Stegostoma tigrinum: one gene and its partners. The protein of the gene in region 1 purifies or fractionates together with the protein of each later gene. This does not show direct contact. Links are inferred from orthologs where the notes say so. Each region holds a gene or a part of one and is shown on either strand. Other genes may lie near its edges. The genes, in order: galectin-2-like, itga4 and fibronectin-like.

What was found.
Region 2: the proteins of galectin-2-like (region 1) and itga4 purify together in Homo sapiens (affinity purification with mass spectrometry; 3 studies listed by BioGRID and IntAct, with this or other methods). This does not show direct contact. The link is inferred for Stegostoma tigrinum from reciprocal best matches to the Homo sapiens genes LGALS1 and ITGA4.
Region 3: the proteins of galectin-2-like (region 1) and fibronectin-like purify together in Homo sapiens (affinity purification with mass spectrometry; 3 studies listed by BioGRID and IntAct, with this or other methods). This does not show direct contact. The link is inferred for Stegostoma tigrinum from reciprocal best matches to the Homo sapiens genes LGALS1 and FN1.

What each region holds. Positions count from the first base shown.
Region 1 is NC_081391.1:12,805,107-12,813,118, forward strand, and holds the start of galectin-2-like, read right to left. Parts: upstream 3,535-8,012; 5' UTR 3,422-3,534; coding exon 3,416-3,421; intron 1-3,415. UniProt on the Homo sapiens protein: Lectin that binds beta-galactoside and a wide array of complex carbohydrates. Plays a role in regulating apoptosis, cell proliferation and cell differentiation. Inhibits CD45 protein phosphatase activity and therefore the dephosphorylation of Lyn kinase.
Region 2 is NC_081360.1:42,646,858-42,654,421, forward strand, and holds the start of itga4 (integrin alpha-4), read right to left. Parts: upstream 3,175-7,564; 5' UTR 3,068-3,174; coding exon 2,880-3,067; intron 2,510-2,879; coding exon 2,391-2,509; intron 1-2,390. UniProt on the Homo sapiens protein: Integrins alpha-4/beta-1 (VLA-4) and alpha-4/beta-7 are receptors for fibronectin. They recognize one or more domains within the alternatively spliced CS-1 and CS-5 regions of fibronectin. They are also receptors for VCAM1.
Region 3 is NC_081360.1:11,864,070-11,872,671, forward strand, and holds the start of fibronectin-like, read right to left. Parts: upstream 3,429-8,602; 5' UTR 3,204-3,428; coding exon 3,089-3,203; intron 1-3,088. UniProt on the Homo sapiens protein: Fibronectins bind cell surfaces and various compounds including collagen, fibrin, heparin, DNA, and actin. Fibronectins are involved in cell adhesion, cell motility, opsonization, wound healing, and maintenance of cell shape.

The DNA of each region.
Region 1 (8,012 bases):
CTGAGGGAGGTGGCTGAGGAAATAGCAGAGGCGTTGGTTGTGATCTTTCAAAAGTCACTAGAGTCAGGGAAAGTCCCAGACGTTTGGAAAATTGCTGTTGTAACCCCCTTGTTTAAGAAAGGATCAAGGCAAAAGATAGAAAATTATAGGCCGATTACCCGAACCTCGGTAGTTGGTAAAATTCTTGAATCCATTGTCAAGAATGAGATTTCTAAATTCCTGGAAGTGCAGGATCAGATTAGAACAAGTCAGCATGGATTTAGTAAGGAGAGGTCGTGCCTGACAAACCTGTTAGAATTCTTTGAAGAGGTAACAAGTATGTTAGACCAGGGAAACCCAGTAGATGTTATCTATCTAGACGTCCAAAAGGCCTTTGATACGGTGCCTCACGGGAGGCTGCTGAGCAAGGTGAGGGCCCATGGTGTTCGAGGTGAGCTACTGGCTTGGACTGAGGATTGGCTGTCTGACAGAAGGCAGAGAGTTGGGATAAAAGGCTCTTTTTCAGAATGCAACCTGTGACGAGTGGTGTCCCGCAGTGTTCAGCGTTGGGGCCACAGCTGTTCACCTTGTATATTAATGATTTGGATGAAGAGACTGGGGGCATTCTGGTGAAGTTTGCCGATGATACGAAGATAGGTGGAACTGAGGAGGTGGGGAAGCTGCAGAAAGATTTAGACAGTTTAGGAGAGTGGTCCAGGAAATGGCTGATGATATTCAATGTGAGTAAATGTGAGGTTTTGCACTTTGGAAGAAAGAATACAGGCATGGACTATTTTCTAAATGGTGAGAAAATTCGCAAAGCAGAAGTAAAAAGGGATCTAGGAGTGTTGGTCCAGGATTCTCTCAAGGTTAACTTGCAGGTAGCGTCCGTGATTAAGAAAGCGAATGTAATGTTGTCACTTATATCAAGAGGGTTGGAATATAAAAGCAGCGATGTGCTTCTGAGACTTTATAAAGCTCTAGTTAGGCCCCATTTAGAATACTGTGTCCAATTTTGGGCCCCACACCTCAGGAAGGACATACTGGCCCTGGAGTGTGTCCAGCGGAGATTCACACGGATGATCCCTGGAGTGGTAGGTTTAATGTATGGTGAACGGCTAAGGATCCTGGGATTGTACTCATTAGAGTTTAGAAGGTTGAGGGGAGATCTAATAGAAACTTACAAGATAATGTATGGCTTAGAAGGGATGGACGCTAGGAAGTTGTTTCTGTTAGGCGGGGAGACTAGGCCCGTGGGCACAGCCTTAAAATTAGAGGGGATAAATTTAGAACTGAAATGAGACAACACTTCTTCAGTCAGAGAGTGGTGGGCTTGTGGAATTCATTGCCGCAGAGTGCAGTGGAGGCCGGGACATTGGATGCCTTCAAGGCAGAGATCGACAAATTCTTGATCTCAGAAGGAATCAAGGGCTACAGAGAGAGTGCAGGGAAGTGGAGTTGAAATGCCTATCAGCCATGATTTAAATGGCGGAGTGGACCTGATGGGCCAAATGGCCTTACTTCCATTCCTATGTCTTATGGTCTTATGGTATGTGCACTGCTCGATGCACTGCAGGCTATTTTACGACCCCAGTGTAGAATCAATTGATAGAAAACGGCCAACAATTATCCTCAAAAGTGTTGGGTGAGAGCAGTGGGAATAAAAACAATGACTTTTCATTATACTATGTTGTTAACATGAGAGGGAATGTACAGCACATCGCAGGAACATTCTGAAACAAACTTTTGGCATTGAGCTGCATAAGGAGATCATTCAAGCTTGGGGGTCAAAGGTAGGTTTTGAGGAATGTCTTAAAGGAAGAAATTGCGATAAAGAGGCAGAGATGTTTAAGGAGATAATTCAAGAACTTAGGGCCCAGCAGCTGAAGGCATGGCTACTAATGATGGAGATTAGACAGTGGAACTAAGAACAGTCAATACCGCAACCCATGAGAGTTGATCCAATAAACACTTGAATAAAGGCAAAATACTGGGGATGCTGGAAATCTGAAACAAACTTCAAAAATTCTGGAGAAACTCAGCAAGTCTGGCAGCATCTGTGGGGGGAGAGAAACAGTTAAAGTTTTGAGTCCAGTATGACTCTTCAGAACTGAAAGGTGTTGAAAAAAATGTTTTTATACTTTTGACAGATTCAGAGGGGGAACAAGAAGGCAGATGGAATCAGGACCCAGTGCAAACAACAAAAGGGTGTTAATAATGGAAAAAAGAAAGATTTAAAATGGGTATAAATTAAGAATTAAAAGGGAGAGAGAAAATTAGTCCTCTGCCCGAGGTGCAAAGTAATTAAGACACCGAAACGACATGGCTCTGGGGAAAGTGTAGAACAAGTTGTTTCTTCCCGGAAAGACAAGTAACAAAATCTTAACAGCAAGAATGAAATCGCTTTATATTGATATCTCTGACTTTTAAGCATCCTGTATTCTGAATTACAGCTGATCTGCACCTCATCTGATCTTGCAGTTCCATGACTCTTGATTTCCTTGACCAACAAGGGCATGGCTATTCTCAGGCTTGAAACTTCAATTATCCCCCTCAACAATCACAGTCTTTTTGAAAGATTCCACACACCTTGATGTGGAAAAGTGCCCAATTTAACTCAGAGGAGGAAAAATTCAAATTTTAAGATTAGTCACCTCACTATTGAATGACCCAGATGGAAGAAATAAATTTTCCATACCAAACTTGTCGAATCATAAAATAGTACAACACAGAGGAGGTCACTTATCCCATCAAGCCTGTGCTAGCAATTTCAAGCAGCGTACAGATGAGTTCTACTTTTCCTCTCTTTCCCCATATCCTTCAAACCTTTTCTGCTTCTCCAGTAACAGTCAATTTTGTTCAATGTGATTTTAAGCACTTGAATACATTTTCCTCTTTTCCTTCTCTGTTCCAAGAAACCAAGCCAGCTTCTTCATTTTGTCCGTGTCATTGTAATCCCTCAATCCAAATAAATCTTTTCCAGAGACAGTGTGTCCTTTGCAAAACTTTCACCTCTTCCGAAAGAGCAGTGCCAAGAATTAGATGCAACTCTTCAAGTAGCTTGAATCCATTTAAATGCCTCAATCTTATTGGCACTCAGACTTCCCATATTGTCACCTAATTTTATCCTCCTTACATTACGTTTGTACTCCTGCAAAAAATTATGGTCTTGCTTGTATGAATTAATGTAGCTGACATTAGTTCTGCATCCCAGGAGAGTCAAATTATAAATGAAACAGCACTTCCAAGTAATGAAATCAGCGAGTTATTAGAATTTATGGCATTTCAAGTGAGACATGACCTTTACTTGAGTACAGTCCCTTTAAACTTTTTCAGAATTTGGCAGTACCTTACTGAAAAGGGCCTTGGTCCCTTTACCTGGTTAAACACAAATACAAAAGGATAAACAACTTTATAGTCCATATACTCTACTCACCGACATCTTCGTGTGTATAAAGAGGAAGTTTGAGTATGCAAGGGAAGTGGTCACAGTCTTGTGAAGAGAGAAATGAGAGCAGAACTGTGCGCATATGTGTGTGTATATATATATATATATATATATATATATATATGAGGTAAAGCATGTTAATCATTGATCAAGTTGCGTATCAGTTTTAAGCCCACTTGTAAATGATTTATAACAGTAATACATTTACAAGAGATAACACAGTGTGGAACTGGAGGAACACAGCAGGCCAGGCAGCATCAAAGGAGCAGGAAAGTTGACGTTTTTGGTTTTAGTGACTGTTAAATAGTGTGTAATGGCAGGCTGTAACAACAAGGCCTGGTGTGTAGGGTAGGGGGCGAGGACATGGGAGAGTGACTGTATGTCACTAACAGTCCCCATTAACAGCTATTCACCCTCTGAGCCAGATCATCATCAACTCCGAGATAGTAGAAACTGCAGATGCTGGAGAATCTGAGATAACAAGGTGTAGAGCTGGATGAACAGAGCAGGCCAAGCAGCATCAGAGGAGCAGGAAGGCTGATGTTTTGGGCCCAAAATGTCAGCCGTCCTGCTCCTCTGATGCTGCTTGGCCTGCTCTGTTCATCCAGCTCTACACCTTGTTGTCTTGTTATCAACTCCATTGACTATCCAATTGCTCTTCTCTCCATCTCTGGACACTATCCTTTATCCTACTGTTCACTCCCTACCCCACCAGCCTTCCTATTTTCTGATTCTCGACTAACATTTTGCCAGCTACCATAGGTTCTGAGGAAGGGTTGCCAGACCCAAAATTTTAGCTTTGATTTTTCCTTCACAGATGCTGCCAGACCTGCTGAGCTTTTCCAGCATCTGCAATTCTTTTGGTTTTTCTGTTATAAAAATCAATTGGTTCACTGATGTCCTCTGGGGGAGGAGATCTGACATCATCCTTGGTCTGGCCCATATGTAACTCTGGACACACAGCAATGTGGTTGACTCAAATAGCTTAGCAAGCTTAGATCGAAGCCCATTAGGGATGGGCAATAAATGATGGCTTTGCCATTTACTGCCCATATCCCTTAAGCAAAACAAAAGTACATCATTGACTATAAGGTGCATTCGGATGTGCTGAAGATAAATGGTGCTATACAAATTCCTGTTCTCCTTTACTGGTGAAGAAAGAATTGAAACACTGACGGGAAAGCTTAAACCTCATTAAAACTTAGTTTATGCTGAACCATGTATAAACAACAATACCAGAATTTAGTCTGTGGGCCCTTTGTTGATTGTCAGTAGGGACTGGCTTAATATTGAACTATTAATTAATAATTTTGTAGTATTCCTCTCTGCGCTATTATCTCCTTAATACCTGTTCAAATGCAGACCTCGAATATCATTGAAACATCAAAAAGAGATTCACAGGAGTGATCCAGGGGCCTGAGTTCCAGAAGTGAGTTCAAATCTCACTGCACTGATGAAATTTAGATTTAATGAAATAAATTCAGAATTGAAGTAAATTTCAAAATTGTGGTAACCATGAATGAAGTAGATTTTTGCAAAAAAAAACTCCCTCCGGTTCACTTTTGATGTCTTTCAAGGGGGGATATCTGTTGACATTAGCTGGCCAGACCTACCTGTAACATCAAGAGCCTCAAGGACATTTAAGTGCCTTCTGCAAAGGCCTGTTTAGTCTCTGTTTCATCAATCTATTACAGGAAGCCTGTTCTGACACCACATCGACTGCATGTGTATTTTGAGGGCAGTTAGGGATTCACAACAAATACCTGGCATGCTGGTGCTGTTCACATCCCTTCAATGAATAACAATGAAACACTAAGACAAGTTAGTCCAAGGGATTGTTTTTAAGGAAGGCAACAAGAGATGTTTTAAGGAGCAAATTCTCGAGGTTAAGCCCTAACAGCTGAAGGTGTGGCCACCAGTGGGAAGACACTAGCTGATTTTTCTTTTCATAAGAACATAAAAACGTAAGAGCACATATAGGCTATTTGGCCCAAATGTCCGCAACACCACACCAGCCCCCACACACAAAAAAAAGAGTAACCCATGAGTGCTGGAAATTTGAAAATGTAGTAAATGTTGGAAACATGCATTTCTGTCAGGTGTCTAATTGTAAAAGATCAGATCTAGTGACAGCCTCCACGAAATGATCAGCACAGTAGCACAGCGGTTAGCACTGCTGCCTCACAGCGCCAAGGGCCTGGGTTTGATTCCAGCCTTGGGCAACTGTCTGTGTGTAGTTTGCACCTTCTCCCCATGTCTGTGTGGGTTTCCTCCAGGTGCTCTGGTTTACTCCCACAGTCCAAAGATGTGCAGGGTAGGTGGACTGGCCATGCTAAGTTGCCCATAGTCTCCAGGGAGGTGTAGATTAGGTGGGTTATAGGGGGATGGGTTGAGGTGGCATGCTCTGAGGTTCGGTGTGGACTTGTTTAGCCAAAGGGCCTGTTTCCACACTGTAGGGATTCTATAACTATATCAAACCTCATGGATGAAGACATGGTTCAACCCTGTGCTTTCCTTTCCAGAGCCACAGAATCAAATTTAGTCTAGATTTCTCAGATGAAGTCTTCCCTTGCCGCTGGCCTCAAAGGTGCTGTGTAAAATTAGTTTGGGCAATCTTAGTTCTGATCATATGGACCTATTAGTGTCAATTCCCCCTTTTAGAAAAGGCTAAAGATGGTCCATGTATGGAATGGATTAGCAGAGCAGGTTTGAAGGGCTGAATGGTTCATTAAGCAAAGAACCAGACCAAGAGTAGGCAATGCAGTCTCTTGAGCCTGCTCCATTTAATACAGTCATGGTTGATCTCATCTCAGTCTCAAATCCACTTTCCAGCCCTCTCTCCAAAACCCATTACTAAATAAAAATCTATCTCCAATCCTATTTTTTTCTATATTTCTCAGCCTCTGGCTTTTGTATACTTGAGCTGGGAGTAACACTCACTACCCAATGTAGAAAAATGTTACTATTATACAGCACAAGGACCCAAACATAAACATTCAGGCAGCAAAGACTTCACCCAACCTCTTTGAGTCTGTTCCAGTCAAAGTGAATGACTTGCATCGTCAATTTGGCTTTTTTGTTCTGTGTAACCTGTGTGCTTATTATGTTTGTCTAATTTAGAGAAATGCAACTTCTGTAAGCTATCCATAAATAAAGCTTCTTGTGAGACGAATCAGTTCCTTGATGACAATTCTTGTTCTACAATGGGTTAACTGAGGGAGAAACAGAATCCTATATGGTCACTTTCTTTACCCCACATCAACCAAAGAATATTAAAGAGGCATCTGGTTTATCAGACATGAACTTCTGGTATATCAGATCACATGGGGTTCTTACTATCGAGGTGTAGTGGATTGTAAATTGTGATTACGTAAGATTGAATGTGTTTCTGACAATTATTAGGGGAATGCTGCAATACATCAGGGTGTGGATGGATAGTTTAGGTGTCCTTATTAAAAGAGGGGTGCAGAAGGAATGCAATGGAGATTCACCAGATTAATTCCTGGGATTGTTTTATCAGAAGAGATTGAGGAGACTGCATCTGTGTTTCTTAGACAATAAGACATGGGAGCAGAAGAGAGAATACAACAAAGGTTAACCAGACTGATTCCTGGGATGGTAAAATTGTCCTGTGAGGAGAAATTGAGGAAACTGGGTCTGTACACTCTAAAGTTTTGAAGTTTGTGAGTTGATCGCATTGAAACGCACCATACACCTACAGGACATGTCAGGATAGATGCAGGAAGCATGTTCGCCCAGCTGGAGTGGAGGACGTATATAGAATTGGGTCACAATCTCACAATGAGAAGAAGACAAATTTCTTCACTCAGGGTTGTGAATCTTTGGAATTCTGCTCTCTAAAAGGTGTTGAGGCTTAGATATTGAGTAATGACAAGACAAAGTTGGATAAATTTTAGATATTAAATTATCAAGGGATATGGAGATAGTGCAGGAAATTTACGTTGGAGTAGATGATCAGACATGAGCTGGTTGAAGTTAAGGCTCAAGGGTCCAACTGGCCTATTCTTGCTCCTATTTCCTATATTTTTATGAGATCTTCTTCATTGACCAGGACAGGCAGATGGGGCCGGGACAGGACATTGACCATTTGGCACACCCTCAGTCTCACACTGGATTGTCAGCTTTCACTTCAATGCTCAAACCTCAAAAGCTGGAACCTTACGATGTATGGCAAGAGTGTTACTTGTTGAGCTACAGATCATTTTTCCATTATACTCTCTTGAGAAAAGTAAAAACGATTAATTAACTAATGAACAGTCCCTTACTTAGAAGGACTTTCTTTAACATTTCTGCGATTATAAGTTTGTAGGCACTTGTTTAAAGTTAGAACAATGAGAAGCATAGTCAGCAGAAATCAAACCTGCACTGGATCACCCCAATGGATTCCAAATCCATTACCTTATACTCTCAGCCCGGTCATGTTGTTGTATTCTTTTGAATAACCAAATAAGAACTGAAACCAGGTAAGACAAAATTATTATGGAACAGTCTCTTAAAGGAACACAGGAACAAAATCAACTCCACAAATTAAACTCGAAATTCAAAACTGATTGTGGGAGGAGGA
Region 2 (7,564 bases), on another chromosome or scaffold:
ACTTAGAAGCACTGTACAAAGGGATCAAGGTGTACAGGTCCACAATTCCCTGAACTTGGCAACACAAGAGATTTTGGTGGCCAAAATGGGCACATGCTTACCTTTGTTGGTCTGAGCATAGAGTATAAAAAATGGCAAGTTGCAGGTCTACATAAGTTTTTAGATAGGACACATTTGGAATATTGTGTACAGTTTTGATCTCCGCAGTACTAGGAGGATGTGGAGGCTTTGGAAAGGCTACAAAAAGGTTTACCAGAATCATGTCTTGTTTGGAGGGTATTAGCTTTTGGGAGGGACTGGATAAACTTGGCTTGTTTTTACCTGAACAAAGGATGAGGGGGGTGACATGTTAAGAATTTACAAAATTATGTGAAGCATGGATAGTCAAAGTCTTTTTCCCAGGGTAGAAATGTCAATTACTAGGGGGCAAAAGTTTAAAGGTAACAGGAGGAAAGTTTAAAAAGAGATGTGAGAGATAAGTCTTTTTGAACACCGAGAGTGGTGAGTGCCTGGAATGCACTACCAGAGAAAGTAGTAGAAGCAGACACAACAATGTTTAAGATGCATTTTGACAGATACATGAATAGGCAGGAAATAGAGGGGATACGGACATTGTGGAGGCAAAAAGCTTTTTAGTTTACAAAGGCATCATGTGTCAGCGCAGGCTTAGTGGGCCAAAGGGCCAGTTCCTGTACTATTGTTTTTTGTTCTTTCATATACGCTTATCCAAGCGGGTGGATAGTATGTAATTACACCTTGGGACTTGTGTCCTGTAGCTCAGGGACAGACACCTGGGGAGTCAGGGGGTCAGTAACTTTCTGGAAGCCCATCAGGTTAACATCGATGGATTTTCCTCTTATCCACTTTGCTCATAACAGCTTTAAGAAATTCAAAGTATATTGGCCAACAAGTGTAATCCTTCATGAATCCATATGATTCTCCATGACCAGATTCTACTCGTCCAAGTACTTAGTCAATATCTTTGATTGTAGAGATCCAGTTTTGACCAAAAGAGAGTTAAAATGGAAATTCTGTAATTGCCTGTTTTTGCTCACTGTATAAAATTTTACAATCCAAAAGTACAATGCATCTATATTGGAAAATGTATGACTAGGACATCTGCCATTTGCACAACAATTAAATACTCTTGGTAGGAACCATCATCATTAGAAGCAGTTTGTTCACTCTCAAGTACCATTATTATCTCCATTACCTTTTGTTTTTGTAATTGAAAATTCAATCCAAATGCTTCACCTCAAACTAACTTTAGGTTCCTACACTATTGTCTTCAACCTCCACTGCACAAACAAAGTACTTAATATTGTTGATAATGGGAACTGCAGATGCTGGAGAATCCGAGATAACAAAGGGTGGAGCTGGATGAACACAGCAGGCTAAGCAGCATCCTAGGAGCAGAAAAGCTGATTTTTCGGGCCTAGACCCTTTATTAGATTAAAAAAACTTCATATATTGGTGCACCTTTACCTGGCTAAAATACGTAGCCAGAATACTGCAGGGTCATTGGAGGGATCAATAAATTCAGAAAGAAAGTTCTATTCAAATCAGATCAATCATTCAGAATCTCAATAAGAAACTGATCCTCACCACTCTGCAATGTACCCTATCAAAGCCAACAAAAAGCATGAATTGTGGAAATAAATAATAATTTAGTGGGGATGGAGACAGAACACCGGTGCTCTACACAACACTGTTGAGATTAGTGAGAGATGATAGAGCTTGGAGATGCAAAATGATCTGCAGGTCCCAGTGTGTTAACTGAAAAAGGGTAACATGCAAGTATAGTACATAATTTGTAAAGCTTACAGTATGTTCTTGTTTCTTGTGAGGGCAATGGATTAGAAAGATTGTGTTTCAGTTGTACAGGAGCACTCATGAGATCGCATGTGGATACAATGTACGGTATTGGCCTCTTCAGTGAAGGAAGAATGTAAATGTAAATGGGATCAGTTCAGAGAAGGTTTACCAATCTAAGACCTCCTATGAGCAGGAAACATTGAGCTGGTGTAAAGACTATTTTCTTTTGGTTTGGTGATTGCGGGGGTAGTGAGACAGGTTATGGCAAATGCAGGCAATTAAGTAGAGATGATTCAGGAGGGGAGGAAAGCTGAGATGGTTTAGATGGATTGGGGAAGTTGGTTGGGTAAGATGGGTCAGGTCAGATTTGGGAGGGATCAGTTGTAGATATTTTCAAGAAGTAGCGACAACATCACTGCTGCACAAAAGGTTTGCTGCTACAGAATTCTTGGGCTTTCAAGAAGACAGAACTTTTTCTTCAACATATCCAGTGGCTGACATCAAAAAACTGTGAGCTTTTCCTTTTACTTTTACAATTCATACAGAAACTGAATAATGCTGTCTTTGCAACTAACCTAAATGCAGTTCTTCGCAAGTTTGATTCGCATTGCGGTCGATTCGGCATTTGTAAATAATTCCGGGGTTTACTGTACCACCAAAGGATGCATTTGCTTTCGGAGCACCAACAACAAACCTGTGGTAGCAAAAGGAATAATAATTTAGAACCACATTAAAAGAAAACATTGGCTAGAACAGTCTCTGCGTGTGACAATGGCAAAAATCACTGAGTAGTTTCAAAACTTCTGACACATAAAACGCATCCCTTTGTCATTTATTTCTGGGATATACCTGAAAGAAACCAACCCCATTTTAACCATTCGAAACACGGTCTTAATCACCAAAATTTTATTGATTTCAGTAGATAATTTCCAAAAATAATGCCGTTGGCACTGTTTTAAAGAAGTTTAGTGTTGTGCTTTTTTTTAAGCTTGCCACGTGCAAATTAAATTAGAAGAATGCGATATGACCTGCTTCGATTAAAACTAAACTGAACGAAAACTTACCACTTTTCGTCTTTGTAGCTGTGTAATAGTACCGAATATCCAAACAGTGTCCCTGAAGGTCCTTTAACTAGGACAGGGTTTTCCGTATCGAGGTTGTAAGGTGTCACCGTCCGGAATTCACAGCACAGAAGCAAGAGCATCCAGAAACCACACCAGTCAAACCCCCACGCAAACCTTTGCCGTCGCATTTTCTTTTCAGTTTGAGTTGCACTGCGAGACTAAAACATGCGGGAGTTCTATTCCCTAACTTGAATCTTACTCCGAAACCTGAACGCAACATCTGCACTAAACTACTAAGCACCGCCCATCCGCTGATAGCTGGGACTCGGGTTCAAACCCCTGCGGGCAGTGCCAAATTTCTGCGGTGGGGGGCGCTGTTGACCTCCTGGGCCAGAGTCAAGAGCAGGGTGAGCTGGTCAACTACACTCATATCCAACTGTTTCAGGCGCTAAAGCAGATCTATCTTCAGATGACAACAGTTGTCAAAATCGCATTTACCCTTTCATATTAATTACTTTTTTAAATTTCAAAACATTCAATGTAGGAGTACCTTGGGAATATGGTGTACAACCTGATGGATTGTGGTGAGGAATATACCGAGAAAAATAATCACATTTGAAAAGCCACAAGCGAATCTACGGTTGCCAACAGTGATTAAATATTTTCCTGGGGATTTCCTCACATGCCTTGAGCCCATGCTCCAATTGTTAATTGCCCAAAACATTCACGCTTATGACACACTAGCTACCTAAGCATATTGGAAAGGAAAGGAGCTTACCCATTAGGGTCATGCTTGACTGCGAATAAAACAATACATTTCCCCCAACCCCCACTGATTTTCAATATTTTTATAACTGGCAAACCAAGAAAATTACAGGAACAAAAACAAAGCTGCTGGAAAAGCTCAGCAGGTCTGGCAGCATCTGTGGAGGAGAAAACAGAGTTACCGTTTCAGGTCCAGTGACCCTTCCTCAGAACTGATGGTGGCTGGGAAAACGTCAGTTTATATGCAGAAAATAGGGAGGTGAGTAGGGTAGGGAGTAAACGATAGGATAGAGCCCAAAGAGAGAGAAAGACAGTTGGACAGACCAAGGAGTTGTTAACAATCAGGCTGGGAGGGTGAATAGTTGTTAATGGGGACTGTTAGTGACTAACAACAGGGGGTGTGTAATGGCAGGTTATGTGGTAACAAGGCCTGGTGGGTGGGGTTGGGGGCTGGGACATGGGAGAGCTTAGGCCCTAAAATTATTGAACTCAGTATTGAGTCTGGAGGCCTGTAGGGTCCCCAAGCAGACAATGAGGTGTTGTTCCTCCAGCTTGCGTTGGGCTTCACTGGAACATTGTAGCAAGCCAGGGATAGAGATGTTGACCAGGGAGCAGGGTGGCGCATTGAAGTGACAGGCAACAGGTAGTTCAGGGTCTGTTTTGCAAATAGAAGATAGATGTTCTGCAAAGTGGCTGCCAAGTCTCTGTTTCGTTTCCCCAATATAGAGGAGACCACATTGTGAGCGGCAAATGCAGTAAACCAGATTCTTGGAAGTGCAGGAGAAGTGTTGAAAGGTATGTTTGGGCTCTTGGATACTGGGGAGGGCGGAGGTAAATGGGCAGGTGTAGCACCTTCGCTGGTTACAGGGGAAGGTGCCGTAGGGCTGTGGGGAGGTGTTGGGGGTGAAGGAAGCGTGGACCAGGGTGCCCCTGAGGGAACGGTCCCTGCGGAAGGCAGACAAGGGAGGGGAGGGGAATATGTATCTGGTGGTGGCATCTTGCTAGAGGTGGCAGTAAGGGCATCTGATAATCTTCTGGATTTGGATGCCAGTGAGATTGTGGGTGATTTGGTTTTTTGGTTTTCAAAGTTTTTTTTGTGATGTCCCTGTGACTTTTCTCCAGTGTTGCAAGCAGCAGAAAGCTGAAGATTGATCCTCAATTCTTGGAGATTCCAAGCTAATCCTGGAGGGATGGTAAACCAGTTTGGAATTATTGAAGGCAACTCGTGCCTGATTAACCTTGAGAGTCAGTGAACAAAATTTTTCCAGCCATGGTGAGGTGGGATGAGTAGCTAGTGCAAGCATTTAATTGAGCGCAAGTCATATATTCAGATTCCCAATGACAATATTAAGCCTTTGATCACGGGTTCATAGTCTCTCCCTCAGATGGCAACAAGCTAATTTCCTTGTATTTATAGCTCATTAATTCCCCAACCCTCAAAATTAACCACTGAACCACAGAGAAGTTATAGCACAGAAAGGACCCATTCGGGTCCACCATGCTGCACAATTGAATAAACCAGCCACTTATTCTCATCCCACTTTTCAATGTCTGCTCTGCAGCCTGGTAGGTTCACAAGGTTTCAGACACAGATCCAGGTTCCTTTCAAATATTTGGGGAGATCTGCATCAACCACCAAACTAGGCTGTGAGTTCTAGACAAATACCACCCGCTTGGTGAAAATGTTTGTCTTCACGTCCCGTCTAATTCTTTGACTAATCGTCTTAAATCCATGCCTCCTTGCAATTGGCCTCTCTGTTAGAAGGAACAGGTCTTCCCTGTCCACTCTGTCCTCATACCTCAATATTTTGTTCACATCAATGAAGGTAACCTTTTCCGTTATAAGGAAAACAACTCTAGCCGATCCAATCTTTCCTCATACCTGCAATTCTCATGCCCTGGGACCATCTTGTAAATCTGATCTGTACTCTCTCCTTCCTGTAATGTGGTACCAGAATGGTACACAAAACTATAGCTGTGTCCTACTCAGTTTCTTATTAAATTCTTGCAGTGCATCACTGCTTTTGTATTCAATATCTCACCTACTGAGGAATAGTGTCCCATGCGTTCTCTTCATCCCGTGACCAATCTGATCTGTCACCTTCAGGGGCCAATGAAAATGCACTCCTAATTCTCTCATTCCTCCACTCCTCTCAATACCCTCTCAATCATTGTGTATTCCCTTTCTTTGTTTGCCCTCTCCAAATATAAAGTATGCAAGAAATGGCCTGGGTTATGGAAATAACATTGTTTGGTGGCAAGGTAGGTACCCTTCATGGGGTGTTTTACTGGCAGAAGTCTATTCCCACTGGAGCAGAGACACTCCTTGGTTGCCCATCATTCAGTTGGATAAGGTCACAGACCTTGGAACATCTTACTCAGGCTTCCATGCCACACTATGTGAGGGCATAGCATTCAGCTGGATTTTTAAGGACATGAGTGCTTAAACATGTTCCTTCAATAACACTGTGTCATCTTTCTGACTTTCCCCACAGCTTATCTGCTGATGGAGCTGAAATGTCCAAGACCTTGCCTGTCTTCCTGGTGACCTGGCTGTTACTCAGAAGAAACTGGAGGTGGACTTGCACTCACAAGGGCTGAATGGCAACCTCCCATCCTGGAGACCACTAAATTCACAGCTTCCCTTTGATTTGTTTGTTAGCGATTCATTTCATGAAGCATCAGCTGAAGTCTGTAGAGTCAAAATTTACCATTCTGCCTTCATCAATCTCCTTTGCTACCTCTTCAAAAACACTCAATCAGATTAGTGAGACACAATTTCCCATGCACAAAACCGTCTTGGCCATGCCTGAATAGTCCTTGCCTTTCCAAGTGTATGTAAATCTTGTTACTGATGCCACTTTTACCAGAGCCTACTTCTTCATATTCTTCCCCTTGATGATGATAGAGAAATTGCTACAGCACGGGCATGTTCCAGCATTTCTGGCTTCCCCTGGGTAAAAGCTACCATCAATTGCACCCAGGTAGTTTTGACTGTCCTATCACCATTTTGGGGTATTTGTGAACAAGAAACAATTCTTTTCACTTAAGGAATTGTGACCAACTGAGCCACTTCTCAGAGGTCTGCACGAGATACCCCGGGAACTGTGCGACGCTTATATAAGAGAGGGCTCACAGGTTCCTTTCTCTTCCATGTACACATAAAATTAAAGTGCATGGGATTGGAGAGAGAAATGTTATCAAACAGAAAGAAGCTATGTAGCCCATCATGTCTGTATCAATTGAACAAAGTAGCCACCCTCTTTCATAGCAAGAGGATTTGGTTACAGGAGCAGGGATGTCACTGTTGTGCAGCTTTGGTCTCTATCTGTGGAAATATGTCCTGGCTATGGAGGGAGTGTATCAGACTGATTCCTGGGATGGTAGGATTGATGTATGAAGGAAGAGATCAGTTAGGATTATATCTACTGGAGTTTAGAAGAATGAGGAGGGAACTCACAGCAACCTGTATGTTTCTAACAAGTCTCGACAGGTTAAATATAGGAACCATCTTCCCAATGACCGGGAGTCTGGAATCAAGGGTCACAGTCTAGGGATATGGGGTAGACCAGTTGGGATTGAGATGAGGAGATATTTCTTCTCCTAGAGAGTGGTGAACCTGTGGAATTCTCTGGCACTGAAAGTGTTGAGTCCAAAACATTGCATGCTTCCAAGAAACAGTTAGATATAGTTTTTAGTTTGAAAGGGGTCAAAGGATATGGAGAGGAAGCAGGAACAGGGTATTGAGTTAGATTATCAGCCATGACTGTACTGAAGGGTTGAAGGGCTGAACGGCCTACTGGTGCTCCTATTTTCTGTTTCTTCACAAATCCTTGGCCTATTCAGGGATGGCTACTGGGAGTCAAGAGGTATTCCCTTCAAACATCGCTCATGATACCAGTACAAACCCAAACCCAGAC
Region 3 (8,602 bases), on another chromosome or scaffold:
ACACACACATCAATTAAATAGTTCCCAAAAGACTAGATGCATTGCAAGACTAATATCACTCAGCATCTGTGGATGGAAAGATGTCTCAAATCTGAACCCTCAACTCATGGAACACTAAGTCATCTTGAGAGGGAGAGAGGGGGAGAGAAAGGGAGGGGGGAGGGGGAGGGGGAGAGAGAGAGAGAGAGCAAGAGTTAATCATAGGTATTTCAGAGGCTCGTCATCAATTCTGGGGAAGGGTCATTAACTCTTAAATAACAGGCTGCATTTTCCCAACAAAGAAATACTCAGGACCCAGGGGCAATTACATTAGTCACAAGCCCATTCACTGGCATGACGCAGCTTAATTTTACAGGATGTGGCATCGCCCTGTTTGTCTCCACAAAGTAAACCCAGCAGATGCACCTCTTGGCCCTCGGATCTCCTGCTGAGCACTTACTCACCTTCTGAGAGCAAGAAAGGCGCCGAGAAAGTGCAGGCAGTAAAGCGACCCCAAGAAAGTGGCCCAGTATAACTCAGATAACAAGGTGTAGAGCTGGATGAACACAGCAGGCCATGCAGCAGGAAAACTGACGTGAAGGGTCTCGACCCAAAACACCAGCCTTCCTGTTCCTCTCATGCAAAATTTTATGAAGAAGGATCTCGACCCAAAACATCAGCTTTCCTACTCCTCTGATGCTGCTTGGCCTGCTGGCGTTCATCCAGCTCTACACCTTGCTATCTCAGATTCTCCAGCATTGGCAGTTCCTACTATCCCAGTAAAACTCAACTGCTTGCCAAATGCAGCCACTCACAAGCTGAATTATGATTTTCACTGGCTTGAGATTACGAGGCTCAATGGCTGTGGGGAGTTCACCCCGAACTCTTGTTTCTCTCTCCATGGGAGCCATTCCTTTCCTATCATCTGCTTTTACTTCAGATTTTCAGTATCTTCGACTGCTGTGCTTTTGCATAAGCTCATCAGCTCTGATAAATAAGCATCTTCCAGTTTCCATTAGGATTACATCGTTCAGTCCCACGTCAAACAGGACCTTGACATGCAGCTTCAACTCGCACTCTTTCCTTATAAAGGATGCAACCATCAAAGAACCAGACTGTAAAATCAGTTTGATTTTAAGGAAAATGTGTTAGAGTTAAATCATATTATTTCCCCTCACAAATACCGACAGACCTGATGAGCACGTAGGCATGAGAGAGAATGCAAAAGATTCACAAAAATGGTTTCAAAGAAAAAGAGTCTTTCAGTTACATGGAGACACTGAGATCAAACATCTTGGGAGTCTTGGAGCAGGCTAAGGGAAGATCTGTTCGAGGTGTTCAAAATCCCAAGGGATATGGACCGAGCAGACAGGGACTGTTTGAAAGATCGAGAATCAGAGGACACGGATTTTAGATGGATGGCAAAAGGAGCAACGGCGGCGCAAGGGAAATTTCCTTCACACAGCAAGTGAATAGGATCTGGAATGCTCCCCCTGAGAATGCACTGGGGACAGATTCAATTGTGGTTTTCAAGTGGGTCATTAGATCATTATCACAGAATCCCCTACTGTGTGGAGACTGGCCATTTGGCCCAATAAGTCCACACCAATCCTCAAAAGAGCACCGCACCCAGATCCATCCCATTTCTGTAAACCCGAATTTCCCATGGCTAATCTGCCTAGCCTGTCCAGCCCTGGACAATGTCCCAAGGCCATTCCCCCTGACTCGGACATCTTTGGACTGTGGGAGGAAGCCACAGCACCCTGATGAAACCTACACAGACACAGAGAAAATGTGTAAACTCTACACAGTCACATAAGGGTGAGAACTGAACCCAACACACTGGTTTTGTGAGGCAGCAGCGCCAACCACTGAGCCACCTCATTATCTGAAGGCAGGTGAGAGAATACAGGGTAAAGGGGGCAAGAGTGGCATATTTAAATGACATTCTCATGAAGTGTCAATCTAGACACGAAGCATCAAATGGTCTCTTTCTATGCCTTAAATATTCAACAATTCCAAGGAACCCCTTCCAGGTTTCTAGCCAAGCGGTTGTACCTCGTTCGGAATTACTTAAGTTAAACTACAACTTCAAAATAGCTGGTAAAGCTCTTTCTAACTAACCCACAACAAAAATCCCACCAGACCATCCACCCATCTGAATGGGTCTGTAGGTGAATTCTTCGGTACATTCTCAGCTTACACATTAAACTCTAATGTAAAAGCAGCTCGGGATGGATGCTGGTTTTAACCTGTGGAGTCTCCTCAAGCAAAAAGTGATATAAACTACAATCACCCCAATTTAGGAAACATATAGGAGTGGTTTCTAAACTCCCTAATCCTGTTCCCCTCCCCCACCCCGGAACTCCCCTCCTTCAGTGAGTGCAGTGGGACAGGATGTGATGGCCTCTGTTGCTGAACAGCCACTAAATAGTCAGCATTCTGACCCCTTGGATGTTTGCATCAAAAGGTTCACACAATGTATTTTTTTAAAATCACATCTTCCCCAGATTAGCGGGGTGAAGATTACAAAGAAACCATTTGTCTTTCTTCCTCACACCCCAAATTTTGGAAAGATGCAGCATTTTAAAAAAACACAACACGCCTCAGATGCAGGAGAAAGCATAGTGGAACCACCCAGTAGTTAGGAGGCATCTGTGGAGAGAGGGAGAAAGGTCGTTTCATGCCCTTGTTCTTAAAATCTGCAATGGAAACTTCAAAATGTGGTTGGCGTAAAGAGAGAAAGGGCAGAAAGGGGTCAGAATGTATTATATGCCCTCATGTACACACAGTATTGAACCACAGGAGACATTCCGCCCCTACTGCCTGTACTAGCTCTTTCGAAGGCTATTTTGATAAACCACACGGCCAAACTATCGACGAGATCACGAAATTTGCATTCGCTCCATCGGCAAAACTCGATGCACCCCTGGTTTAAGTCTCGGAATCAGCATCTGGACATCATTTAGTCATTAAAGGACAGAACCAGAAGCAACGTGCCGGCAGAACGTTCTAAAGCACAGGTCTAGAAAGAGTTTGAACACATTCTGTAAGGGGAAAAATGCATGTTAAAAGTTTCAACAAGATTCTCTTCCTCTGGAAGACTTACTCTGATTCTGGGTATTTGCATCGTACGGACTTTGCCTTCTCTTTTTGCCTGCTTGACCGCTGGCTGCACTCAGACAAACGGCCAGGAACAAGACCCCGAGCATGGGGAGGTGCATCTTCCAGGCACCAGCTCCCCCTCGCCCTTTCACAGCTCGCCGAAGACAGCCAGATGCCTGACAATTACCCCACCGTGTTGAAAAGGAGAGGGGGTGGAGGGACTGGTCCAGAAAGAATTTGGCGTGGGGGTGGGGGGGGGAGGGAAGGGACAAGGACAGAAGAAACCAGACCAAAGGGAGACAGAACCTCTCAGCACACCTTTGGCCAGTGAGTGAGCGAGCGAGTGCCTGCTTCTGCAGCCCTCTTTATAACGTTGTACAGCCCCCGGACAGGATGGGTGGACCTTTGGAAGTTTGTGGAAGGGGAGGGGTCTCACTTAAGCTACATCAATAATATTTACAAGTCTGCCTCTGACATCACTGAGGACTTTGGGTGAAAAACAGCCAGTTCAGACACTTATCAGACACCAGGCATCTCTCTTAAAGGGGCATTGCATCCCTGAGGCAGCCTGCATGAGACAACAGACATCCCTCATAAGGCACGGTAGTCTTTCTGTAAAGTGAGTCACCGCTCGTCTTTAAAAACGGGAAATTGAGACTGAAATACTCTGTACATTTGCAACAAAGGAAAACACATGATTAAACTGAGCTCAGCTTCTGTCTTGCGAGCTGTTTACTTGTGAGTGATTTTACTGAACTGTAACTTGACAAATCACTGCTGGGAAGGATTGGAAGTCTTTTAATTTGTTTATTTTGGAAAGAAAGGTACACCTAATCTAGGCTCCTTTTACCAGCTGGAGGGGCAGCAAATCTGAGGCGAAGTGAGAGTCTGAATGTCAATGGGTGATCGAGGCGGCGAATTAAGTCCTCAACAAGACGAAGGGATGTTTGAGTTAATACCTAAACATCTCTAAAGTCATCCGCCCTCCCCCCATCCCCCGACACACACACACACACACACACACACAAATCCTCCACGAGATCTGCAAACATTGTCTTCACTGAATCCAAAAACGAGGTACAGATTTGTCCAAATATGACTTGCTAAGCTGATTTTTAAAAAAAACCCTTGTGTGAATTTTACATGAACTTGGTCTTCTGTAAAAAAAGGTGGAGGTGGGGATTCGGAGACAAAGGAGGTTGGGGGGAGGGGGTATACAGACATAAAATGAGACAGACTTGGTATTCAATCATAACCGAATGACAACCTTCCCGCCGCGTATGTGCAATAAACACTCGCTCCTAGGAAGTGTGAGCCAGACATTGCATCTTTGAACTCGTTCTCCGAGCGTTTGCAGTGTTTATTTTATTTAAAACGTGGGCGTTAGAAACGTCGCTTTTGCAGTTGCTTTCGATGCGCACAACGCGGGAGAATTTTTTTTGTTTTTTTTCGAAAACAAAGGTGAAATACCAGGGACGATGTAGGAAAAAGCAAACAAAAAATTGCGAAGCAGAACGCAGAAGGTCAGGCAGCATCTGTGGAGAGATACAGTCAATGTATAAGATTGATGACCTGACCCTTAAAGGTCATCCCAATTTGAAACATGTCGGTTTCCCTTGTAGCCTTCCCTATTTCCTGCATTCTTTTTTCTTGCCGTTCCAAGACTTGTCTTCTCACAATGCTCCCTCTTACACTGGGTCTCTCACCCGCTCTAAACTCTGCACTGACCCAGGCGCAACCTGGTAGAAAATGAAATGTTACAAATTTCCACCTCGAAAGTGTTCCATTGTTTGTAAAGTACTCGCATCCTCCCGAAAGGTGCAAATTTACAGCAGCATGTTTGGGGTATCTGTAATGAAACCGGAAACTGCCGGGGTACTCACTAGGTCTGTGCAGGGAGGAACAAAGAGTTAAATCGATTTCAGTGAGATTTCCTACGAACTGAATGTGCAAAGTGTACCTTTTTCCTTAAAGACAAAAATCAGTGTGTTACCAATGATAGGACGATGCCACAACAGTCACAAAAGGACTGAGCACGCTGGAGAATCTGAAACAAAACCTTGCTGGAGAAACTCAGCAGGTTTGGCCAGCATCTGTGGAAGAGTTCGGGGTTGCTCCTAATGTGAAGGCTGAGAGAGACTCGGGGGAAATAATTTTTTGAAAAAAAAGTTGAGACGGCAAGAGCTGCTAAGAAAAAAAGTAAACCAAACCCTTAAAATCAAACGCCTCTTTAAGTGAGGCTCTGTCGAATTTCATTATTATTCTACGTTTGAATTTGGGAAGGGACGTCCAAAAACAATGTAAGGTTCCTGCACTTCAAATTAAGTAAAATGCCTCGGGGAGCAGAGCTTCTGATTTTGTGTTAAGTGTATGATTCATGTTTGAAGGACGAAGCGTCAGTGCTTCAGTATGTCGGCCAGGAACTCCAGATAAGAAGGGGGACGCCGCCTTGTTTAACCATTAAGCCGGGGACAAGACGGATTGCCGAAGTATATTGAGTGGTGATTCCCTGTCGGGCTTGGACATATTCAGTGAGGCTGCCCTCCGGCCCACAAGACACCATTCTCTGCAAAACTAACTATCCACAGTCACCACCCCAACCCCGGAACAAAAGGGGATCCGTGCTTATCAATGTGCATTTCGTGACAAGAAACTCATCCCGTCTCTCTTAACACCCATTTTAACATAACTTAGCAAAGGCATGCTTTAATCGGTCGCTGAGTCACTCAGAGAGGGCAACCGGACCCTTGGAAGCCCAGGTTAACCCTGTTTTAATCTCGCACTCTCCTCAGTAATATGACCATAACTCAGCACCATCGGTATTTCGCTCAAAGACAGACTACCAAACCACACTGCTACATCGCCAAAAAGTGCAGAGGCCGGCACCTAGTGCTTAGACACCATTCAACCGCAGCTGTTCTTTTAACATTCTATAAAATCTCCCTCTCACTGGAGCATAGGGGGTTGAGAGGCGACCTTATGAACGTTTATAAAGCAATGAGGGACACAGGGAGAGTCAATGGTAGTTGTGTTTTCCCTAGGATGGGGGATTTCAGGATTAGGGGCCACATTTTTAAGGTGACAGGAGAGAGATTTAAAAAAGACTTTTGAGGGGCAATTTTTTTACACAGAGGGTGGTTCGCGTGTGGAATGAACTTCCTGAGGAAGTGGTGGATGTGGGCACGGTTACAATGTTTAAAAGGCATTTGGATTAGAACGTGAATAGGAAAGGTTTGGAGGAAAGTGGGCCAGAGCAGACAGGTGGGACTAGTTTAGTTTGGGATTGTGGTCAGCGTGGATTTGTTGGGCCGAAGGGTCTGTTTCCGTGCTGTATGACTCAATGACGCCACGATTCTAAGTCTTCTGTCTCTCTTCCTAAATGTGATGTGTGCTCTACTTTGGCACAGTAATGGTGTCCCTTCCTCAGGACTAGGGGACCCAGGTTCAGATCCCAAGGAAAGATCACTCAACCTAAATGTTAACTCTGATTTCCCTCTGCAGGTGCGGCCAGACCTCAGCTTTTCCAGCAATTTCTGTTTTTGTTTCAGATCCTGCCTGTTCCAGAGGTGTATCGTAACAACTGCTTCAAAATACATCAGTGTACCCCAAAAATGCTGTTCACCTCAGCCAGTCCCTATGGCCATGGTTCCCATGTTCTCTGAATGAATCACTGTCTAATTAATGACTCATATTTGTGAGCCCTATATTTAAACTTACCACAAAGGACAATGTCTTTCCCATATCATTCCTATTCACAGACAGGCCACCCCTCCTCTACAGGAGACCAGCTCCAGCCTCGAAACCTTCCCTGAGGCATATGGCTTGTTGGTTAGAATCAGGCTGTTTGGCCCATCGAGTCCACACCAACCCTCTGGAGTGCGTGCCTCCCAGACCCAGCCCTACCACTGTAACCCTGCATTTCCCATTACTAATCCGCCTTGCCTGCACATCCCTGGACACTATGGGGCAATTTAGCATGGCCAATCCACCTAACCTGCAGATCTTTGTGACTGCGGGAGGAAAACGGAGCACCCAAAGGAAACTCGCGCAGAAACGGGGAGAATGTGCAAACGCCACACAGACAGTTGCCCGAGGCTGGGACCAAACCCGGGTCCCTGGCGCTGTGAGGCAGCAATGCTAACCACTGAACCAACGTGCCACCCCACAGCAGTTCTAGAAGCACTTGTTTGCATTTTCTCTAGTGCCTCAAGATCCTCCTTATAACATGGGGATGGTGGATGACACTAATAGCATTCCAAAAAATGCTAAATAATGAAGGAACTGGGGAAGTGGGTGGAGATTGTGGATTAAATGACTATCACTGGAGGAAAAATGTACTGGGGAATCTTATGGGCCCAAAGGCAATAAGTCTCTTGATTCTGATGGGATACGTGCTGGATGTCAAAGAAGGTAACTGCAGAGACGGTGAGATAACAAGGTGTGGAGCTGGATGAACACAGCAAGCCAAGCAGCATCAGAGGAGCAGGAAAGCTGATGTTTCGGGTCTAGACCCGTCTTCAGAAGTCTACAGAGTTTGTCCTTTTCACAGGGAGTAATGTTTGAAAAATTGTTAGATTGTGGAAAAATACTGAAAGACTGGAAAACAGCCAACGTAACACCCTTACTCAAAAAGGTAGGAGACAAATAAGCAGGCAATTAGAGGGCTGTTCTGAGGAAGGGTCACTCGTCCCGAAGCGTTAACTGTGATTCCTCTTCACAGATGCTGCCAGATCTGCTGAGCTTTTCCAGCAATTTCAGTTTTTGTTTCTGATTTACAACTTCCACAGTTATTTTGGTTTCTGTCAGCGATAGGCCATTTAGCTTAACGTTTCTGGTCTGAGGAAAAAATGTATTAGAACCCATCATAAAGAATGCAAAGGCACCGCATTTAGAAATGCACAGCAGAGTTAGCGTGACTTCATGAAGGGGAAGTCACGCCTGCAAAATCATCAGAATCTGTTACTCAAAGCAGGATGGATAAAGGAAAGCAGTGGATGTAAAATATTTAGATTTCCAAAAGTTGTTCGGTAAAGTACTACATTTAAGTTAACTTCATGAGGTAAGGAACCGTGGAGTTGGAGGCAGTATATTGGCATGGATAGAGGATCCGCTAACTAATAGAAGACAGAGTTGCAATAAAGAGGTCATTTTTAGGGGGGTAACCCATAATTGGTGGAGTGCCCCAGGGATCGGTGCTGGGGCCACAATTATTTACATATAATGTTAATGATGGAAGGGATTGTACTGATGCCAGGTTTGCGGATGAGACAAAAATGAGTGACAAGGAAAGTGGGAAATGACACAAAGAGTCTACAGAGGAACATGGACAGATTAAGTGAGGCGCCAAATACTTGGCAGATGGTATATAATGTTGGAAAATGTGAGGTTATGCACTTTGGCAGGAAAATGGAGGAGTTGAATGTTGTTTAAATGGAAATATACTGCAAAATCTGTAGCACAGAGGCATTTGTGAATCCTTGTGCACAAATCATGAAAAACTAAGTTGATCGGGTAATAT